Linked DNA regions of Yarrowia lipolytica. The protein of the gene in region 3 purifies or fractionates together with the protein of the main gene of each other region. This does not show direct contact. Links are inferred from orthologs where the notes say so. Each region holds a gene or a part of one and is shown on either strand. Other genes may lie near its edges.

The links.
Region 1: the proteins of YALI1_E35580g (region 3) and YALI1_D17370g purify together in Saccharomyces cerevisiae (affinity purification with mass spectrometry; 3 studies listed by BioGRID). This does not show direct contact. The link is inferred for Yarrowia lipolytica from reciprocal best matches to the Saccharomyces cerevisiae genes RRP5 and SOF1.
Region 2: the proteins of YALI1_E35580g (region 3) and YALI1_A05052g purify together in Saccharomyces cerevisiae (affinity purification with mass spectrometry; 3 studies listed by BioGRID). This does not show direct contact. The link is inferred for Yarrowia lipolytica from reciprocal best matches to the Saccharomyces cerevisiae genes RRP5 and MAK5.

What each region holds. Positions count from the first base shown.
Region 1 is NC_090773.1:1,734,394-1,740,755, reverse strand, and holds YALI1_D17370g (uncharacterized protein), read right to left. Parts: upstream 3,693-6,362; coding exon 2,277-3,692; downstream 1-2,276. Other genes in the region: YALI1_D17355g (uncharacterized protein), read left to right, coding at 5,188-5,973. UniProt on the Saccharomyces cerevisiae protein: Required for ribosomal RNA processing.
Region 2 is NC_090770.1:502,830-510,548, reverse strand, and holds YALI1_A05052g (uncharacterized protein), read right to left. Parts: upstream 5,274-7,719; coding exon 2,277-5,273; downstream 1-2,276. Other genes in the region: YALI1_A05091g (uncharacterized protein), read left to right, coding at 1,389-1,787; YALI1_A05031g (uncharacterized protein), read left to right, coding at 7,356-7,719. UniProt on the Saccharomyces cerevisiae protein: ATP-binding RNA helicase involved in the biogenesis of 60S ribosomal subunits and is required for the normal formation of 25S and 5.8S rRNAs. Required for the maintenance of dsRNA killer plasmid.
Region 3 is NC_090774.1:3,554,880-3,564,269, reverse strand, and holds YALI1_E35580g (uncharacterized protein), read right to left. Parts: upstream 6,293-9,390; coding exon 1,589-6,292; downstream 1-1,588. Other genes in the region: YALI1_E35639g (uncharacterized protein), read right to left, coding at 1-326; YALI1_E35559g (uncharacterized protein), read left to right, coding at 8,379-9,068.

The DNA.
Region 1 (6,362 bases), on a different chromosome or scaffold from region 3:
TCTTTTTTTTTTCCTTTTTTTTCCTTTTTTTATTTTTTTCTTTTGTTAATTTATTTATTTCTCCATTTCTTATTTGGTTGCTGCTGTTGAAGAAGAGGTTGGAGAGGTATACCTTTGCCTTAGTCGAACGTCCAGAGATGGAATTATTGTTGGACAATAGGGAGACCTGAAAATGTAGAAATGATGGGCTTGAGTGGGGTTTCTATTGGTGTAATTTTCATGTCTAGCGAATAGCTCGTTTGTCATCAAATCAGAGACTATGTATTGTCCCTAGTAATCGAGGTGTGATTACATAATATCAAAATAATCAGCTTGAGTAGACTACCCATTAGTGTAGTCTTAGTCAGCAAATCGGAGATTGTTTGAAAGATTATTAATGATAATCAAAAATATATGTTTTAATAAAAAATGATGATATAATGAAGAGAGACTCGCACCTTCGTTGGACTACGACTAACCTACAAGTAGCTACAAGTACTTTCCTTTCAGTATATCCCTGGTATCTCTTTGTCAAGTATCAAAATAATCCCCTCGAATCGCTTTATCCATCTCTATCCAACTGATGTTACTTGTTAGTCATCAAGCGGTGATATCACGTCAGTCATCAACGGCAACATGTTGTAGTCATTATTAATTGATTAAATATACAGTGAGCAAAGTGTTCTCTAGGCTGGTTTGTGGTTGACCATGTCGTATCTTTGACATTCAGTCACTTGTCGGACACAATTAGTTGGCCTCCTTGGTCAGCTGGTCGCCGTTGACAATCACCTTCTCCTGGGCGATCTTCTTGAGGTCTCGCTTTCCAAGGTGCTCGATGTTCTTGAGCTTGTCGCCGTTGACGATGGCGTTGACCGGGGCAGGGGCAGGGGCAGGAGCAGCAAGAGCCAGGGTGGAGAGAGCAGCAATGAGAGTGGTGGAGAGTCGCATGGTGGATGTGGCAGAAACGAACGTTGGTTGGAACTAACAAAGACGAAAGACGAAAGACGGAGACGCCTCCCCGCTTATATATATATACCGCGTCAGAGCCAGGGTTAGAGTTGAATATGAACGCTTGGCTCCTGCACGTCATCCCTTGGAGTATGTAGATGCAGGGGGAAGGCGGCGGGATCGAGGAGAGGGCCAAACGCGGGACTGGGGCTATCACGTGACGAAAGGAAGCAACGACACTGTTGCTTGTAGTTGTTAATGACGTGATCAACGACTTTTTCCCTGCTTGCCACTGCGAATAAGCGCCTCTCTGGCCCACATCCCTTGTGTTTACAATCTATTGTTAGCATTCTTCCTTTCAACTTTATCACAGAGTTGGGGCGGGAGCTAGACTCCGTTGCTGGGGGTGAAAAGACGTGTTTTTCGTGTCGCACGGACCGCGACTCGGTTTTCGCCCCGTCCAGATTGCTTAGATGCCAGCCTTTGTTTCTATATCATCCGCTAAACCCCATAGATAGCCGCAGCAAGCAGTATCTCAGCTCTTGGCACCTACGATAATGCACGTCATACTTGTAAACAATGAGCGCATAGTCCGAACACACACAGGGATAAGGTGTCAGCCAATTGAAAGTGGTAGGAGGTCCGGCGAGCCCGCGAGTGCGAGGCGGTACGACGGACAGCGAGGCGGTAGCGTGCGACGGGCGGTAGCGTGCGACGGAAGGTATGAGGCGCGTACGATACGACTGCGAGACGGTACGAGGCGCGTACGATACGACTGCGAGACAGTACCGTACCAGTACGACGGACGGCGAGACGAGAACCGTACCAGTACGTACTGGCTGACTTAGCAACTAACGTACGACGGACGGCGAGACAGGTACCGTACCAGTACGGACTGACTGACTTAGCAACTAACGTAGATTCATCCTTCTACCACCAGCAAATCGGACCTCAAGTCCTCACATCCACTCGAATAACGGTCCGGTACTGGTATTTGTATTCCAGGTATTTGTATTGATACTTTCGTAAGTCGCTCAACCTCTGGCCGTTCCACAACAATCCCATCCGGCCATATCTTTCTGACTGACTACAGAGTCCAGGGGGTGGCGGAGTTGATGGATGTGTTCAGCTCATCAGTCTTCAACCAAGTACAGTAATAATAAAAAATGCACTCATATATATGTTATATCTTTTTTGAAACACGACCGCGGCTGTGTGCGCCATGTCACTTGTGACAGACGACGTTGTGTCGAAAGTGGAATGTCGTTTCACAGGTCTATATTAATATCGTCGTGTAGTCAGATGTCATTTCCTCACGTGTTCTCGTCGTGCTATTCACCTGCAAAACACTAGACATTCTTCCAACCTCCCTCAACACTCTCCTTATGCTGCTTCTTCTCCTCCTGAATTCTCTTCCACTCCTCAATCTTCTTATCGTCCTTGATGGCAACACCAACAATATGCTGCTGTTTGAGATGAATGTCAGGCAGGTTCTTGTTATGCTTTCTCTCGTTGTCCTGTCGTCTCTTGAGAGCCTTTCGCTCAATACCCTTGATTTCACGGGCATTCTTGATGGCAGACGGCACGTGTCGGTGTCGGGCAATGGACCGCACCTCGGGCATGTGTCTGTATCGCTCCTTGAGAGCGTCGGTGTATTCTCGGGATGCCCGCTCCCTGGACGACCGGACACCGGCCTTTTCGGAGGCCTTGGCTCGCCACAGACGCACGTTACCGTCATCTGAACCCGACAGAATGTACTTGTTATCCAGAGTGAACTTTGCAGAAAACACCCGCTGCATTCGCTTGGTGTGGTAAATGTCTCTGGAGAACCGTTCTCGGACGTTGAAGATTCGGATAGTCTTGTCATAAGAGGCGGTGACGATTTCCCGGCCGGTGGGCGAGTAGTCCACGTCCATGACCGCAGCCACGTGGTCCTGCAGGAACGATGTGCATGCAGACAGGTTTCGCATGTCGTAAAGATAGACATTGTGGTCTTCGTTGGCGGCACAGAACATGAACGGCACCTGGGGGTTCCATGAAATGGCATTGTTGTTCATGCTGGTGACCAGCTTGTTGATGGGCGAGTTGGTTCGGATGTCGTAGAGGGTGAGGGCTCTGTCGGAACCGGTGGAGGCAAACACAGCGTGCTCAGAGGGAGAGAACTTGAGAGAAGTGATGGTGTCTGCGCCCCAGGACAGCGACGAAAGAGGCTTGGACCGGGTGGTGTCCCACAGCTGCACCTTTCCACATCCAGTGGCAAACTTGGAGGTGTCGGGACCTCGCTGATGGTCAATACAGTTGAAGCCTCGGTCTCCCAGATACACCTGCTTGGGGTCGGGGTTCTTGTTCTTCATGTCCCACAGCTTGACGGTCTTGTCAGAGGCACACGACAGCAGTCGTCCCTCGGGTGTCACTGTCAGACCACGCACAATGTTCTCATGGGCCTGCACGGAATAAGTCTCCTCCTGCGACGTCAGGTCCCAGTACTTGATCACTCCGTCAGCAGAGCCCGACGCCGCAGCGTTGAGCATCCGCGGGTTCAGAGCAATCGTGTACACGCCGTCGATGTGGCCTCGTCCCAGCTGGCCCACAAACGGCTTTGCAAACATTCGCTCCAGCTTGGTGGCATTCAGCGCTTTTGTGTATTCTCGGGCTCGCTCAAAGGGATGCAGCGCGGAGTCGAGGTTTCGGGGCTGCCGCGACGTCTCGGAGGCTCGGTCGGCAAGATAGGCGTCCGTGGACCGCGAAATGGTCTTGATTTTCATGATGGTTGTGTGGTTGCAAGGTGGTGCCAGATAACAGAAAATAGAAGGCTAATCGAAAATATTTTTTTAAGGTTGCAGATGGGTGGTTGTGCTGACTAAGCCAGTATCGACGAGAGCACAACGACTAGTTCTGGAGCATGTTCGCCCGAGACACTGTGGACTGGAGAGTTGTATATGTTGGTTTAGTTGGTTTAGTATGTAGTTTGATGACTAAGAAACATTTTCTCTTATTCTGATGTGCGTTTTGGGGTGGTTGTGGACGTGGGGGGATGGTCTAGAGTCCGAAAGAACCAGATATGAACATATATGGAGGATTCTGCGGGTTTGAAAGATGCTAAATCCATTAAATTGACCAATTCTGGTCTCTATATAACTTCTAGGAGAGTGAGAGTGGTGTTTGTACCCTCTCCCTGAGGTCTGTGTATGGCTTGACTGAGATACCAGGTTACTTGTAGAGTAGTGTCTAGTCTATGCATTATTGTACAAGAAATAAAGCTGAAACACTCCTCTCCGGTTCTTTCTCATTCTTTCCCACTTTTCTCGGGCTCCTACTTGGACTTTCGAGTCAGCAACTCTTCACGTCTTCATATGCTGACAACTTAGCAAGCACAACATTATGATGAGAAAAAGGGCCATTTTGAAACCAGAAAGGCCGATTCACTAGTCCCTTTGTGTCACCAAGCCTGTTTTTCAACTCTACAACTGTCCGTACCCCTTCATTGTGCCTCTCAGGGTCTCTCCACAACTATCTCACCATCCCAGCTTATGAACACACCAACTTTTGCCACAGTACACCAAGTGAAGGGTGTTGGATATTGCTAGATATCTTTCATTAAGCTTATTACAATGGTACAGTTGTTTCTATTCTAGTCCCTCCACATCACCTCAACCAGACGTCTTTCTGACTCTCTAGAAGAGGAAACCTCGGGAAACGGCCCTAGTGATGCCATTCAAGTTCTAACCAAATCAATATTTGTAAAAAAAGGCCCATTATGACGCCTCCTCAGTCTCTGAGACCCTCTGTCTGATTCAGGGAGATCGTATCGAACTCCACTGAAACTACATTGTTTCGCCACATCCTATAAAACTCTGCAAATCAGGGTCGTTTTGGTATCATTTTGAAGCTCTACAGCTGTAAAATTCATCTGAAAGGTCAGATTTGCAATATTCCGCCTCTATCGTCCTCATTTCCTATCTCTTCATATATCTGCTTATTAAGATTACCTTAGTGTCAGACTGTATGTCCGACAAGAGGGTGACCCAAAGCGACCATTTCTGGTTGTTTTTTCGGGCAGAAAACCCCAGTAGCCACTAACCAACCTCGTCGACAAATCTCGCACCTCCATTTCCCTGCCAAATTTCCCCAAGACCCCCAAATCTCTCCCCCAAATCCCACCGCCAAACTCTAATTGCCACCTTGGGTCCCAACGCTATATCTACAGTACTTCGAACCAGCACATCACCAACCTGTACACATCTTCATACAAAACACACAATGCCAGGATTGTCCTTCTCAAACTACCAGCGAAACGCGCATCTGTCGGCCAAGGGCGTCAAGGTGCCGACCGCGACCTCCACCGGAACGACAATTGTCGGATGCAAGTTCGATGGCGGCGTGGTGATTGCGGCCGACACCCGAGCCACCAGTGGCGACATTGTGGCGGACAAAAATTGCGAGAAGCTGCATCGAATCGCTCCCCACATCTGGTGCGCGGGAGCCGGCACCGCTGCCGACACGGAGATGGTCACCCAGCTCACCGCGTCCAACATTGAGCTGCACTCGCTGTCTGCGGGCCGACAGCCCCGAGTGGTCACCTGCCTGACCATGCTCAAACAGCACCTGTTCAAGTACCAGGGCCACATTGGCGCGTACCTGATTGTGGCGGGCGTCGACCCCACCGGGCCCCAGCTCATGTCGATCCATGCCCACGGCTCGACCGACGTTGGATACTACCTCGCTCTGGGCTCCGGATCCATGGCTGCCATGGCCGTGCTGGAAGCCAACTGGAAGCAGGAGCTGACCAAGGAGGAGGCGATCCAGCTTGCATCCGACGCCATCGAGTCCGGTATCTGGAACGATCTGGGATCCGGCTCCAACGTTGACATCTGTGTCATGGAGCAGGGCAAGGACGCAGTGCTGCACAGAAACTACCGAACCCCGAACGTGCGTGAGCAGAAGCAGCAGAGCTACAAGTTCCCTAGAGGCGTCACTGCCGTGCTGGACGTAAAGGTCCGAACCTTTGATGTCGTTTCCACGGAGGTGGTTATGGGTGAGGCGTAGTTCCGATAGTAGCAATGCGTTACTGAGTTGCGCTCTGGATTGGGTAGTTGGAGGGGAAGTTGGAATGAAACCGCTTAGATGAGCTGATGAACGAGTATCAAACTGCAATGCAAACAGAAGGATTGACTGCCATAGCCATTCGATCGTCAAACATAGGAGCATGAAGGATACTCGTATAGTTAATGATAACATATTAGATAAGTGTGCTTCAGATGTAGAGTCAGCGCCGTGCTGGCTAGTTTGTGGACGAGTATCGTAGTAATCTAGGTGAATGGTAGTACACTACGCGTACACTCCGTGGCCTTATCGTCGACATTCATCTACGTCGACACCATCTAAGTCGAAGAACCGTCTAGAAGAACCGTCTAAAAGAATTTCCAGAACCCGAT
Region 2 (7,719 bases), on a different chromosome or scaffold from region 3:
GGAGGGGTATATCTGTCTTGTGGCCACGAAAACTCACGTGATCAAACAGATAAACCGGAGTAGAGCGACGCCAAATCCACTGGACTAGATCACGTGACTACGACCCACGAGTCTCTTAAAAGAGCTGATGCGAGTTTGTACTGGAGTTTGTACTGGGCGTGTACTGGGCGTGTACTGGGCGTGTACTGGTGCTTGTACATGCACCTGATAAGTGTGTGCGATCATGAACAGGTTATGAGTCAAGGAGGGTTATTATCAGTGACGGGAGTTCAGCATTGTTGTCGTTCTCAGTCTATCCCTTGGGTATTTGAACTTGTCTGCTCCCACCCATTCTTGCATTATTCTCCATCCTTGCTTACTCATCAGATTGAGTTTGGCAAAAACACTGCATCATATCTGGAAATCGTCTTCTCGATCACCACAGCACAAAATGAAATTGGTCAGGTGAGTATTGAGCACTGGCGTCCCCGCGAGCTTTGCTAACACAGATTTTTGATGAAACTGACCTCGGAGTCGGTCCAGATTGAGCTGAAGAATGGTGAGTGCGGAAACTAGTGCAGAGTGCGAAGCACGTCTGACGAGCGAACAACAGAACGAAAGAGCGAGAAGCTCGAGTTGATGGCGGAGGAGAGCCCAACAACCAACCACATTGTGGCACAAACAGCTATCCAGACACGTGGCTCGATCATGATGGGTTTGTTACTATTGTAAGTCTGATCCACTATGAACGAGTCAACATGTACATGTCGACTAAAGTTGAGGGAGGCGAAGGAGCAGGCGAGAATGTTGACTGATGCGGGCTGACATTGCACAAACGGCTTTACAAGCTGTGACATTCTTTTTCCACTCAAACGGTGACATGGCGGTTCATAAGAACACTGACTATGGTACACGGAAGGTTGATGGGAGACTGGGTAAGAGAGAAGAGACACAGACAAGAGAGGACCGGGAGTCTGGCTAATGGTTTCGGTGTGATACTGTGACAGCTGATAATGTATATGGTGTTATAGCGGCTTGCATTGCTGTCTTCTCGCGTGTATACACGCTTGACCCCATCAGACGCGATTCGCAATATGCGAGATCAACAGACAGTGGTCAGACGCATTGACGTTAAGAGGAAATGACGTTATTCGCTGCGGTATCATCAGTTCACACGATCCGTCTACCTCTATTACAATATTCTGGCTGATTTCTCATGCTCTTCTTGCCTGTCCGCCTTTGATCAAGACCATGGAACATCACAGTCACGGCCTGTTTTACCCTGGGGTCTGGTAAATCAATATGCTGTCTGCTGAATACAGCTGTTCCTACTTCCACAGAGCTCGGTCTACTCTGGCTCTATCAGGGTCTTCTGTCAGTATCTGTGTCTGCATCTGTCACTCCCTCTAATGTGCACATGGCGGCCCCCTTTCCCCTACGTCATTACTAACTCAGGTACCGTTCTTCTCGGAACAGTCATGTCTGTGTCCAACAATATGAACACGACACTCAAGAATGTGAAGATGACCATGAAGAACCGACCCCCAACCTCGCTCGACTACATCAACATTCGAGGCAACACAATCCGGTTCTTCATTCTCCCCGACTCGCTACCCTTGGATACTCTTTTGATTGATGATACTCCCAAGGCCAAGAGAAGAAAGGTTGAGCCTGGTGCTCCTGGCGCGGCAAGAGGTGGACCAGGTGCGGCTCGAGGACGAGGCGGACCTATGAGAGGCCGTGGAGGACCTAGAGGCCGAGGTGGTCCCAGAGGACGAGGTGGACCTAGAGGTCGGGGACGGTTCTAACCGAATAGTGTGCAGCACTAAGAAATGTCATTGAGAGTGTGTTAGTGTGTCTCCGGTACCTAGAGCACGCTGCCGCTGGGATTGTAAAGTATGGATGGGATGCAATTATGATTTAATAAAACGGAAAATGTATGACTCTGAATGAGAGGCTTTGTGGGCTACTTATAGCTATTAATCGCCTGTACGTCGCTCTTACTGAAGGAATTGTTCATTTCCTTCTCTTATGTTAAAGGGATGTAACTAATGAAAATACAATACAGTCTTGAACAATTGAGCGGTCCTAGAGATATGTAGGTGCAAAAGTATTGTTGAGGTAACCAGTTGTTCCCATCATTTGTCTTGATTACGCACAAAACTAGTGGTTGTAGAACTCAACCAGCACCTGTACGGTATACTACTGTTGAACTTGAACAGTACATCTTATCCATTATGATTGCTCTATAAACTCCTCCATGTTTTGGTCCGCATTGAACTTCGGCTATTCGCTTTCTAGTTCTTTCGCTTCTTTCTCAGGGTCTCTCCAGCAGTCTGAGGAGCCACTCCCATAATCTTGTCATGCGACTTTCCATCCAGAACCATCTTGGCCAAGTTGATTCCGTTAGTAGAAGTGATGTATTTGGACGAATGTCGTCCCAGAGGCTTACTAAGTAGCTTCTCAAGCTCCTTTCGAGTACGAGCCATCTGGTCCTTGCTCATCACCTTCATGCCCTTCTTGCTGTTGTTGCCTAGCTTGGTTCGCACATGGCTCTTGTGATCGTGGGTATCGTTCTCAAAGTCGGAAAAGTCGACTCCAAGGTCCTCGGCAGCCTCCTTGAGCCACGAATCCTGCTTGCCAACCTGTGTGGAGTCCAGAACCGAATCCGCCAACTCCTTGGCAAGCTCCACTCGGGGCTTGATCTGAGCCAGCACGTCGTAGTTCATGGACAGAGGTTTCAGCTTCGCAAGAGCATTGTCACGTGACAGGGCAGCTCGCAGCTTTCGCAGAGGTCCCGACGCTTCGTCGGGCGAACACAGGAGCACAGAAACACCCTCGTTTCCCGCTCGAGCAGTACGTCCAGATCGATGCACGTAGACATCTGCAGTTCGAGGCAGGTGGTAATGCACAACATGGTGCACATTGGGGATATCCAGACCTCGAGCTGCGACATCAGTCGCAACCAGAATACCGTTCTTGTTGTCTCGGAACCGCTCTAGGGACCGCATACGGGCCTTCTGGATCATGTTGGAGTGCAGCTGCACAGCGGGGAGCTCGAGGTTCTGCAACATGGGAGTGAGACGCTTGACAGAGTCGATGGAGTTGACAAAAATGATGGATTTGCCGGGGTAGGTCAGCAGGAAGTAGTATAGGTATTGGTCCTTCTCCATGGCGCCACACTCGACGATACTCTCCAGAACCTGTCGAGCGACAACTTCGGCAGGGTTGGCGTCCACAAAAGTAGGATGGAACTGTCGGAACTTCATCTTGGACACGAGGAATCGGATGGTTTCCTGATCGGTGGCCAGACCTGTTCTTTGCTTTCGCTTCTTGTCCAGCTTGAACATGAGCGACTTCTGGAAGGTGGCTGAAAACACACATGTCTGTCGTTTGGCCACCTTTCCTCGTCCAATGAGATCCAGGGCCTTGTCAAGATCCTCATAGTGTCCATCCTGAAGCATTCGATCGGCTTCGTCCATTACCACAGTCTTGGTTCGCTTAAACACATCAACCATGCCGTCGGTATCGGTGATGAACTCGTGGAATCGACCTGGGGTGGCGACAACGATGGCAGGGTTCCATTTCATGAGACGTCGCTGCTTCATGATAGACAGTCCACCGGTCAGAGCCATGACTCGCGGTCCAGAAATAGGACAGAACTGAGACACGGCATTCAAATGGTCGGTGATCTGATGAGCAAGCTCTCGGGTGGGGGCAAAAACAATGGCCTGAGGAGGCTTAACAGAAGACATGTCTCTCTCCACCTTTTCGGTCTCTTCGTCCATCTCCACCTCGTTTTCTCGGTCTTCTCGCTCCTTGTCAAGCACAGGAAGGTCAGCAGGTCGGTCGGAAATATCAAAGCGGGGCTCGGGAGCCTCATCGTACATATCGAATCGCTCTTCCTCTTCCTCGTCGTCCTTCTTTTCTTCCTGTCCGGTCATCTTGGTCACCTTCTTAGGTCTGGGTTTGGTAGTACACTTCTCAGGGACCTCCTCCTCGACCTCCTCCTTCTTGTCTGACTTCTCAGCCTCCAAAAATCGATGCAAAATCGGCAGACCGTACGCCAGCGTCTTACCACTACCGGTACTGGCCTTTCCAATCACGTCATCACCCGCCAGAATGGGTGGGATCGACTTCTTCTGAATTTCTGTAGGAGACTTGTAGCCAAGAGCATACAGGCCCTGGATGAGGGAGTAGTTAAGCTGCTCGCCGTTGAGAGTCCAGTCAGGGAGATGAATGTCGTCGGGCACACTATTGAGGGCCTCAAATGCGTTTCCCTCGGCCTTTTTCTTGCTGTTCTGTTTAGGTTGAGTCTTGGCAACCTCCTTGCCGTCCTTTCCGTCCTTGGCAACCTTGGCCTTCTTCTTGGCTGGCTCAGAGGCATCCCCAGACTTATCCTTCTTAACTTCGGCCTTCTTGGTCTCTTTCTTAGAGTTCTTCTTCTCAGGCTTCTCCCCTACAACAAAAGTAGGAAGGCCGTTGTTGACCACAATATCAACACCGTCCAGCTCTTCAAGTCCGTAGAAACCCTCAAAGTCCATCTTCTTGTCGCCTAGCTCAACCTTCTTCCAGTTCATTTTGTTAATGTCGAGAGGCTTTGTTCCGGGTGCAGGAAGATCGATGGTTTCCCCACCGTCTGAAAACTCGGCATCTGACCAGTTGTCCATTTCTGCGTCAGATTCGGGTAAAACAGCAGCCTTGACCTTAGTCTTGACAGTATCCTTTGTCTTAGTGTCCTTTTTCACATCCTTGTCCTCCTTCTTGGCAGCCTTGTTAACTTCCTTCGCAGGCACAGAGACCTCAGCCTCTTCACCTTTAGTGGCTTGTGCGAAACCCTCAATGGCGCTGTTAGTTTTAGCATCAGCCTTCTTGACATCCTTTTGGGTATCCTTCTTGCCAGCCTTCTGGACATCCTTCTTGACACTCTTCTTGACATCCTTCTGGACATCCTTCTGGACATCCTTCTTGACGTCCTTCTGGACATCCTTCTTGACGTCCTTCTCGGCCTTGCCACCCTTGTCTTCCTTCTCCTCTTCATCATCGTCAAACTTGGCGAAATCCTTCAACTTGTTTTCGTCTTCGCTCTCGCTGGCACTCAGATCAGCAGCAGAAACAATGTCCATGGCTGCCACAGTCGTACCCTTGGCCGCTTTCGCTTTTCGAGGCTCCACAAAGCCGTTTTTGATTTTTCGAAACACCTTCTTGCCGCCAGCAGGCTTGCCCCCACCAGGAGGCTTTCCACCTGGCTTGCCAGGCTTGCCGCCCTTTTTCGCATTCTGTTTGATAGCCATGGTGTGAGTGTGTACGGAAATATTCAGCCTGGAAAAATAATTTTTAAACGTGCATTGAGATGCATGGAGGTTAGGGCTAGATGGTGAGCAGAATAGGGAGAACCAAACCACGTCGTAGGATGCGTAGGAAGAGTCCCAGGGGAATGATAGAGGATATGGTGTGGTTTGGAATGGTCTCTTTATGACAATTTGTCTTGTTCATATTGCCTTAGTTAGATCAATGAGTTCTCTGAGAGATCCCTCCGTTAATAAAAAACATAACAAATAAGTGCGCTTGATTCCAACTAATCTTAACTAATTGTCTGAGTGTGGCATTCCCAATCGGTTCTGCTGGATCGAGTGGGTGTGTACAAATGAATGGAAAAGATGGTCCCAATTCGTTCTGTTCATTCAGTTCTACAATCTGAACACTTTCTTTGTCATTTCAGGCTTGAAATTCCCCTAGTATTTCTGAAATATATGTTAAAAAATTATAACTTGCGGTATCACAGAACACCCTTTCCTAACAAACATTCAACTAAAGAGGATTAGCCTTGACACAACGACTGTCTTTTATGCACTACAGTTTTCAACGTATGACACTCCAAACGGCCCTGAAACTACACGGCACTGACGAACAAGCTCTTCCCCTCTTATCAGATGACGTTATCTGATCGGTGCGCCGTGTCTCATTCGGCTGCGCCACTGTGGCTTGTGGTTCCTTGGTGAGTGCTTGTAGCTCCGCTCGGACTCCGAGTGCATGTTGCTAACGAACTCGACAAAAGAAAGGAAAAAAAAAGAATGCACAAGTGACAGCCTGACCAGAACAGTCGTAGGCATACAGCCACGTGCCAACCACGTGAACTCACGTGGATTCGCATTCACAAACAAGGTCTTTCGGGTTTATAGTCTTTTACCTCCTTGCAACTAACTACAAAATACAACCCTGTTGAGAAGACGATCTGGACTAAACAGACCCACCGTAGTTGCACTCAAAGTGGCTAACGGGGACGCAGATAGTATGCAGTTGAGGGTGGAAAGTCTTGGCCGCACGTGACTAATGCGGATAAAAAGGAAAGGAGAAACCCCGAGCGCCGTTCTAAACCATTGTCGCGCATGTTTAGTGTATGTTCTGTTGCAAGAGTGCAGGGTATTGCTGTAAACTTTGGCAATGCCTAGTTCTAGTCTGTGTCTGTTTTGACGGGGTACAATGGCAATATTTATATATAGAAATGGTCAGCGAGGGACAGCAGATGTACTGAAATTTCTGGCGGCCCAATCGGAGCTCAATTGGGCAAGTTGTGTGAGTTCTGTTGTCGGAGATGAACATTCCACTTTATAACGGAACTCAGGTGCAAGGTAGATTCGCTCCGAATCAGTTTCGGTGGAGTTCTAGTTGCTTAATAAGAGTCCAATGTGGGAGAAAAACATACCGTTTTTGATTGGCTCGTTCTGAGGAGTCGTTCTATGCCACTTGTGCTTTGATCGGACTGCGCCAAACTTCTCTAAATTGATTCCTCCATACACTTCCAATTAGCCGCAACGTGACGATGCTTCCCTTTTGCCTTTTTGTTAATGAGCCGTGCTAGTCAAGGGTTATGGGTGTGTGGGGTGGCGGAGTGATGGGATGGCGAAATAACAGGGTACCAGGAACCCAAGACGGAACCCTGGACATCATGTGACGGGCACAAACTTCTCACGTGACTGTGAGGAATTTTCGCCTTTTACTTCCCGGTTTGCGACGATTCTGGGAGCTGTTGCCACCGTTTTGTTGTTTCCTCCGTTACGGTTATACGCAGAAAAATAGGCTCCGGATAATTAGGTTGTGCAGTTATCAGATGGAGCAACATCAGATAAGAGAGGCGTTTAAAGAGCTATAGGGACGGCCAAATTGAACGGGAGATGTTTTGAATCTATTTATTGTCGCGTTAGTAGTGGGATGATCTGTTTTTTGCGTTCAAATTCCGCCCCTATAACCCCCGATTGCCCCTTGATAAATGTCCACCACCACGCCGCCCAACTCTAACCCCTACGGAGCTTATTTTGAAAAGTCGCTTTTAATTACCAGACTCACTCTTTCCAGGTTGTACTCCACAACACAACATGGTCAACTACGCGGACTTTTTCGAGAATTATTTCTCGGTTCAGGTCTTCTTCATCATCTTCCGAGAGACCATTGAGACGGCGATTATCATCTCCGTGCTTCTGGCGTTCCTCAACCAGGGTCTGGGCGATAATGTGTCCCAGAAGGACTTGCAAGTGTATCGACGGCTTGTTACCCAGGTATGGCTGGGTGGAATCTTCGGTCTGCTCATCTGTCTGGCCGTGGGAGGTGCGTTCATTGCCACCTTTTACATCTACGGACACGATCTGTGGGGCATGACTGAGAACGTGTGGGAGGGCGTCTTCTCCATTGTCTCGTCCATCATTATCACCATCATGGGAGCCGCCATGCTGCGAATCAACA
Region 3 (9,390 bases):
ACAGGCCGAAAGCACGTAGTAGGCGAGATGCAGTAGTCTGTGTTCCACACGAAGTCGTCCCTCCGCTGACAGGGCACTCCAGCTTCATAGTCCACCTTGCCCATATTGCAGTGGGTCATTCGAATAAAGTGCCTTGAGCTGATCGGAAAGCCACCAGACGCGAGTGCTCTCAAACCAAAGGAGTAATCAAATGACCGAAAGAATCTCCATCCTGTGTATGGCAACCAGCCTTTCTGTAGAGGGTCACACCGGGTATCTTCTGTGATCCACCATGCTGCCTGTGTCCAATGTATGAGTGCAAGTAACGGCAGCAGGCTTCTCCACATAACGAATGATATTATTTGGAGGTATCACTTAGTGGGTTGTTGATATGATGGTTGTTGGGAAGGTTCAGTTTGCCCAATGATAGAATGACCATTGTGTGAATAATTAAGAATTGCCTTCGTAGTTACTGTAAGAGCTGGTGATTGTGAACAGATAAAAACAATGTTGCACCAAACATGCCACAGAACATTCAGGTGAATCGGGGCCAAAAAAAATTACAGCACCCAGGATTCTCGTATGGTCTCCCACTACAATACTAGCTAGGCTCTCTGGTGCTTGACTATGGCTGATCGGACGGGAAGCCGTATTTTCACCAGGATATGGGCCGTAACCACACTGCCGCCGACCCGCGGAATCGGAACCGGGGGCCCATCGATGGCAACGATGGATTTTACCACTAAACCATCGGCGCGGATTACATGTATGTCAGAAACCAGATCCGTCTTAGTCAGCAGTTCAACTCAGAATGCCATGAATCGACAAACCAACCGACAGCGCCCCGCAGCGCACATCGCAAAGATTCAGAAGTGTATGATTTATTGAACGCAAATAACCCGGCTTACTACAAGTAGGTATATAGCTGTAATGAATCATGAGAATAAAAAAATAAAAAAATAAAAAAAACCGAGTCCGATATTCGGGTATAACATTGTTTGTAGGCATCAAGTAGTTGAAATGTATTTCCATAGAAAAATAATAAAAAAATTCCTTCTACCAGCAACGTGTGGATCCCCCCATGGCCCTGATGTCCGAAGTGTAGATCGATAATCTCTTATTCCTTCTGCCGATAACGCCCCGTGAGGCCATGGGCAATTGGCACAAGCATTTCACTGTCATGAAGAACTATGTTTGGATGGCCCTGCTCGATCAGGAACGCGACCCCAAACATGAACTTTGGCTACAAGCAAACCAGCTACCAGGCAATCATAACAGGATAAATGCCCGGAGGGCCGAAAAGCTCCACATGCTCCGACTGTGTCGTCTTCCTGTCTTCAGATACCCGGCCCAGGCCACAATGGAGGATAGTGTGCTAGTTGAGGCTCAGTTTGACCTCATGAACTTCATCCGAGAATGGGCTCACGCCATCTGGCGTTTTGAGGCATTGTGGGCACGGACCCACAAGTCAAGCAGGACCACCGGTACTTGTTCCAATAGTCTTCGCTTACTGCTACTATATACAATACAGGTACAAGTCTTAACGTAATTCTATCATTAATAATCAATTAATACCAATACTATCACAAACCAACAATCCACCGTTCTTTTACTCATCCTCCTCCTCATCCTCCTCCTCATCCTCCTTTGTTCGCTGAGTAACGTAATCCGCCGCCTTGGCCTTGACGTACTCGGCGGCCTTGTCGTCGTCAGACTCAACCTCGTACTGGTACCACTTCTTGAAGAAGAACTTGGCCTGCTTGAGAGACAACTTGGGCAAGGCAACAACTCGCTCAAACAGAGCCTCGATCTTGGTCTTGTCCTGGCCATACTTGATCTCAAAGTCGACAAACTGAGACCACAGATCGGTTCGCTTGGGGTAGACAGACACCAGACCCTCCAGAAGAGTTCGGCCTCGTTCAGCATCTCCAGACTTGTACTCAAGCTGGGCGAACTTGATGGCACACTGGAGATGGTCTCGCTTGGGCAGGGCCTTGGTGGCTCGATCCAACAGAACTCGGCCCTTCGCAGCCTGCTCGTTATCAAACAGGAAAGTGGCGTACTTGATCCACGCCTCCATGGAGCCAGAGAACTTCTTGACAGCTTTGGCATAGACCTCGTCTGCCTTGTCCTTCTTGTCAGAAGCAGCGTAAATGTCAGCCATCTTCATGTAGATGGTCTCGGCGTCCATGTACTGAGCAGCGTCCTTGAAGGTCTTGTCGGTGGACTCGGGAGTGCCAAAAGTGTTCTCCAAATTGAGAAGAGCGAGCCAGACGTTGAGTTTCTCATCCTCATCTCGGTAAGAGATGGTCTTAAGAGCACGCTGGGCAATCTCTCGAGCCTTCTCAAGCTCGGAGAGCTGCATGACGAAAGACATGTAGGAGATCCACAAAACAGAGGAGTTGGGGTTGCCAACAAGCAGACGCTCGTAATCACCAACAGACTGAGGGGTGGCAGTCGAAAGATCAGCAGTGATGTCAGCAATCTGAGTCTTTCGCTTCTTTCGAGACTTGGGGGCATCATCTTCCTCGTCAGACTCATCATCGTAATCAGAACCATTCTGCTCCTCCTCCTTTCCGAAGACGTCTCCCGACCAGTCAAAGCCAACATCCATGGCAGTGGACTTGGCCTTCTTCTGCTGCTGCTTGGTAGATCGAATGGTGGGGATAGACTCATCCTCAGAGTCGTCCTCGTCCTCATCATCCTCACTGTCTTCCTCATCCTCCTCGGAGTCCTCTTCGACCTCCATCTCGATATCGCTGTCCTCCTCGTCATTGTCATCCTCATCACCCTCGAAGTAGGCAGCCTTCATTCCAAGCGAGACCTTGCTGCCCTCAATCTTGAGAACAATAACTCGGACCTTGTCACCCGAATTAAAGAGCTCTGAGCAATCACCAACAGGGGTGTCGGCAATCTCGGATCTATGACACAGACCAGTAGCGTCTCCAATGTTGACAAAGACACCATAGTCGGTAGTTCGCTGGACAGAACCGTCGTACTTCTGGCCAACAGTGAGATCCTGGGGACCCTCAATGAGCTTGTCACCAGTCATATGACGCTGCTTGAGAGACATGTCGGGGAGACCCTTGTCAGAGAAGCCCATGATTCGACCAGTGACGATTTGACCGATCTTAAAATACTTCTTCCAGTCCATGAGGAAAGAGTCGGACAAGTTAGTGATCTTGACTCGAGCATCGATGCCGTGGCCAATAGCAACGAAGATACCGGCAGCAATACCAGTGACGACACCCTTGACCTTGTCACCTCGCTTGAGGGGGAGCGAAGGGAGAGGATCGACACCCTCCGGGTTCTTTCGAATGCAAATGGCGTAGGGCTCCTTGGCAGAGCAGATGACAGCGGGAACAGTCTCACCAATGTCGTAGACATTGCTGAGCTTGAGAGAGTAATCATCGACAGCATCCACAAGAGAGGCTGTGGCAGTGGAGGACTTGCCATTGACGTTGATAGTGCACTGAACGTAGTCAACCTCAATCTTCTTGACTCGAGCAGTCACCTGAGCACCCTGAAGTCCGTTGGAGGCGGGCAGCGCCTCTTCTGAGAAGCCCTCAGACTTTTCCTCGGACTGAGCTCCTCGAAGCTTGACTTTGTCACCCTCAATACCGCAGACAGAAACCTCGACAAGGTCACCAACAGCATCAGCGAAGTCAGCCTCCTGAACATCAGCTCGATCCAGACGGCCGACAATGTAGGCAGACAGAGCCACCCAAATGGAGTCCGCAGTAGACTGAACAACGACACCAGGGTAAGCCTTGCCCTCCTCAAGATTATTGATAGAAAGTCGAACATCGTTAGTAGCCAGCTCGATCTGATCACCCTGAGAAGAGGGACCAAGTACGGTCACAGAGATCTTATCGTCCTTCTCAACAGGAGTTTCGAGCTGAGAGAGTGAGATTCGACCGTTCTGGTTGTCGGAAAGACGGACAGAGACGAAGGAGGGGAGAACAGCAGTAACAATACCCTCGGTCTTCTTACCCTCAGAGTAGTCAGCAATGGTAGAGATGCTGGGGTCAACGGGGTTGACGGCAGGACCATTGAGAGACTTTCCAATAGAGACCGCAAACTTGTCGCCGTTGACAGAAGTCACTCGACCCTTGACAACCTGGAACTTGTCATAAGAGTCATCACTAAGAGATGCCTGAGGAGCAAGACCGACAACACCTGCAAAAGACACAAAGACACCGTGCTGGTTGACGTTCTGGACCCAACCGGTGACAGTTTGGCCAACAGAAGGAGTCTCCTTGATCAGAGTCTTGTTATGGTATCCCTTGATGATGTCAGGATGAGCACCGAGAGTCATAGAGCTCATCCACGGCTGCTTGGCAAGGACAACGCACTCCAGCTTGTCTCCCACACGCAGCTTCTTGTGACTAGGAGGGAGCAGGTTTCGAGGAACAACGCCAGTGAGATCGACATCACCAACGGTCATCTCGATAACAAAGTCACCTCGTTTGTCAATGATCTTACCGGTAACAAGGTCTCCAAGAGAGATGCCCTCGTAGGCACCAGAGACATGCTCAGCGGCAACCTTGGAGAGCTTGCAGGAGACCTGCATAGACTGCTTCTCAGGGTTGATATCCAGAATTCGGATCTTGACGGTCTGGCCAACTCGACAATGCTTGGTAATGTCAGCGATGAAAGCCTCAGACACCTCTCCAGCAGGAAGCCAGGCCTGAGAGTTGTCCCAGAACTCGACGACACACCCTCCAGGCTTGACATTTACAACTGTTCCAGAACCAATGTCGCCAATCTCAGACGCGTAGGAGATAAAATCGTCCTTAGGCAAGTTGTAGAGAGACTTTTTGATGGTCATTCGGCAACCGCTGCTGTCCACACCGAGAAGTCGGCCCTTTATCTTGGATCCAATCTTGAATTTGAGCTCGGGGTTGGCCATCTTGGCATCAACAAGATGAGCAGCAGGCACAACAGCGGTGATGAAAGATGACAGTGCCACGATAATACCGCCCTTGGGGAGATGCCTAGTTACAGTACCTTCGACCTTGTCACCAGCAGACAAATCACTGGTGGCAATGTACTTGGCATCCATGACAGACTGCTCACAAGACAAAACGTACATCTCGTCCTGGGGGGCAAAAGCGATAATTCTGGCATCAAGAGTCTGGCCAACCTCGTAGTCGGCTGTAGAATCGGTCTTCTCATCAGCGAGCTTGGAGATGTGAATGAAACCAGGAATGTTCTCGGCGAGCTCAACAAACAGACCGTGCTGAACGACATGAGTGACCTTGACGCCCAGAACTTGTCCAGGAAGGAAAGCCTCACCGATTCTGGGGTCAGCATCCTCCAAGTTGACGACGTGGGGCAGAGCAGAGAGAAGCATTCGCTTGCCGCTGGCACCACGGTCGAGAGTAGCGACAACTCGGGCAACAGAGCTAGTCTTTTCCTCAAGGCCAAAGGATCCCTGGAAGGGATCAATGGTGGCATCAACGGAACCGAAGACGGAAACCACTGCTCCGTTATTTCGCTTATCGGTGGTGACGACTGTGACTGGGGTACCAGCGACAGCGCTGGAGAAGTCCTCTAGTTGCCGGACGGCCTCACCGGTATGCTCTGTGTCCAGGGTGATTGTTCGGCCACTGATTCGAAGCACGCAAGCCAACACGATTTGTCCCTTGTTGAGTTCAACGTCGGTGTCCTTGATAAAGCCCTTTTTGCCCTTGATACCGGTAGCAACAACGTAACCCTTATCCTCCTTCGACTTGACCTCAACCTGCAGAGCCATGTTTGCGTCAATGTCACTGTCCTCAATATCCCTGTTGACATCCTTGGGCAGCAGACTGAGACCCAGACGCTTGTTAGAGGTATCGACGACAGAAGCTCGAACCCACTGTCCCTCCTTGACGTAGTCCGAAAGGTCGAACTCCTCGCCCTCCTCGATTTTGGCGTTGAGTGCCTCACTGACCTGAACACAAGACACGAAACCATGCAGGTTGTTGGGCAGCGAAACGACACAAGCGGTGGACTGGATATTGACGATTCGTCCGAGAATAATGGAACCAACAGAGATATTGTCCAGAGAAAGAGACTGGATCGCAACAATGTCGCTCGTCACAGCCTGCTTTGCCTTTCTTCCACCCTTCTTCTTGGAGCTCTTGGCGGCCTGTGATTCCTCGAACAGGTCCTTCGCAGCTTCATCGGCAGTCTGTCGAATCTCCATGGCAGACAGCACTCCAGCTCCTCCTCGGGGGAACGCGCCCTCCTCCATCTTGAGGCTTGACTTGTATTCCGGTTTTTCTGATTTCGTCTTCTCAGACACCTCAGAATGCTTTCGTTTCATTTTCGTATGATGTATGTGTGCGAGAGTAGCACCAATGGACTGAAATTTATTTTACCTACAATCCCAAATTTTTTGCACCTTGCATGAACCCTGAACCTTATCATGTTCCACAATTGGTGGCGGTGGTGGATACTGGAGGATTGTCGCATAAATTTGGGAGTTCGGCAATGGTTTTGTACAAGCCGTCAAGCTGGATTAGTAACCCAGAGTTAGAAGAATGTATCTGAGAAGACAGGCTCCATATATAACTATGTAGGCGGCACGGCCCCCAGGCTGGTTGAGGTTGATAGGTAGGGGGGGTACGGGAGTGGTGTGGCGCTTCTTGTAGTGTTCCTACCTGGAGTATGTACATACTGTAGTGGAGAGAGACGAATAAGGATATTTCTGGGCTACAGTAACAAACTCAAGTCAAATTATTGGTACAAATTCGACGGTAAGACCGTAGAAGAGAAGCCCATGAGGCAACAGCCCTACAACCGGATAAAGCCAAATGTTTTAGATACTCTGACATATTAATCTCTTAATGGAAAGGAAAGTAACAGATTAATTATATATTTTTATTCTAATGATTCATTACAGTTATATACCTAGTAAGCCGGGTTATTGGCGTTCAATAAAATCATACAAACTTCTGAATTCTTTGCCATATGTGGCGCTGGGGGGGCGCTGTCGGTTTGGTTTGTCGACGCTTCGTCTAGTTGATGTCATTTTCGTGGTCTCGTGGTAGTGAATCATGGCTAACAGATCAAGAAATCAAATCAATCGTTTCATGTCTTATCCAGACTCGAGGTTGCCGCTGGTCTGAGCTGAACTACTGACTAAACCGGATCTGGTTTCTGACATGAAAGAAATTTCGCCTTCGTGGCCAAGTGGTAAGGCGCAGCACTAGTAATGCTGAGATCATCAGTTCAAATCTGGTCGAAGGCAATTTTTTTGGTCTACAGGACTTATTAAAGTAACTTGAGCATCCTCAATAAATGATTAATGTTTTGCTACTTGATCGGTGGGATTACCCTTATGGTCACTGTAACTCGCAAATGTGTTTTTTCACGGACGTATCTTTCTCCATGACATCATCCAACGGCGTCTCTCTTTTCCACAAACTTCCATCTACATAGACACCGCACCTTGGTGACAGAGTTCAATGATTCGGTTGCTGCTGCAGGCCCCAACGGCGCCAATATATAAATATCCAGTCTCTCTGAGCGAATACTCTTTCTTCAACACCAAAAACAAACCCACACTACATTCCCAATGAGCGACAAAATCCCCACTGCTTCCGGCTCTTTTCCCTCTGGAGTTGTTCCCTCCGACCCCGTTCCCGACTGCAAGGACAAGAAGGAGACCACGCAGGGCTCTTTCCCCGCCGGTGTCGCCAAGGACAAGCAGTAAATCGCTGAAGTAGATTTGTTTGAGGCTATCGGCAGCGGCCTGGCGACTGGATCAAACGATACATATGTTGATACGGGTACAAGTACAAGTACACGTTGGAACGTCTTCTGAACGTCACCCTTATTTAATGAATGAATAGACCATCTGAATCGATGAGGTATACCAGTACAAGTACAAGTACATGGAGTCGGAGTTGGTGTGGATATGAGGAGTGCCATGAGAGAATAAAGGCGCTCTGATGCCTGGAGTGATCTGCTACTTGTACAAGTGCTTGTACACTACGTCGCTTACATACTCCTATCCAATACGATTTCAACTCAACGGTAAAGCTATATACACTTCCCGATTAGGGTAGAAGCCATAGTAGTTCAGAATATGTGGCAACCGAAATGAGAGGCAAAAGTCATGTTTTCTTCGGGGTGTCATCGAATTTACTTCTGAGATATACTCCAGTCGTTGTTTAACTTGGTCTTCACTCAAACAAACATTTACTATCACGAAGGTCATATCCCTAGGCACCCCTAATGCACCTACTTGTAGAATCACGATACCGACGAACTTTATCTGCGTTGTTCTTCCAGAACCTCTCCCATACACTACTTGTAATAGCTACAATCTGCAAAAACAGATTTGATCAAGCCGCCATCAGAACCATTTGCACGCCAAAGCTGCGCATCACACAGACTCCATTCCGATGGCGACCAAAGCAGCTAACAAACGACTAGTCAAGGAGTACGCGTCGATACAGGAAAACGCTCCTCCTTACATCACCGCGAAACCAGCAGAGAACAATCTCCTGGAGTGGCATTATCTCATCACAGGTCCCCCGGAGACTCCCTACGAAGGCGGACAGTACCACGGTGTGCTGCTCTTCCCATCAGAGTATCCCTTCAAGCCGCCGGCCATCAAAATGATTACTCCATCAGGCAGGTTCCTGCCCAACACACGACTGTGCCTGTCGATAAGTGACTACCATCCGGACACGTGGAACCCCGCATGGACCGTGTCCACGATCCTGACGGGGCTGCTGAGCTTCATGACCTCAGATGAACATACTGCAGGAAGTATGACATCCACAGAAGCTACCAAGCGGACATACGCCAGCGAGTCGCGCAGATGGAACCTTCACGACAAGAGCTTCCAGACTCACTTTGGAGGAACCAAAGAGGCCGAGCCTGCTCCTTTCGTGCCACCTAGACGAATTCCTGTGGTTGAGGCCGAGGGTTCTTCAACCGACTCCTTGGCTAAGAGCACAGTCATCAACAAGAAGAAGCCACAAACGAACAAGCCTGCTTGGACCCTTCAACAGAAGCTTCTCGTGGTTTTGGCGGTTATTCTCGCCTGGATTGTGGCAGCTAGATTCCTCGGAAAGACAGCTAACTAAGACAGTAGATGATATCGTTGAGAGGAACACAGCACATTAGTGCGAGTGTTTGGAGATCACATGATCTGATATCACGTGCTTCTACGAGGATAATCACATGACCAATAGCCACACAGTCTCAGGTGTTTGCTGGAAAAGGCCTAAATCTAGAAAGTTGCTATAGAAAGAGCATTAATGTCTGAATAGATATTACCAAACATGTCTCATATTTCATAAAAGCGGGAGAATGTACATTCTTTTGTCATAAACACCAACCTACAGTATGTACTAAGACAGTTCTTGTTTACCTCTCTCTTCATGTGTTGCGTGTGTACACTGTAGA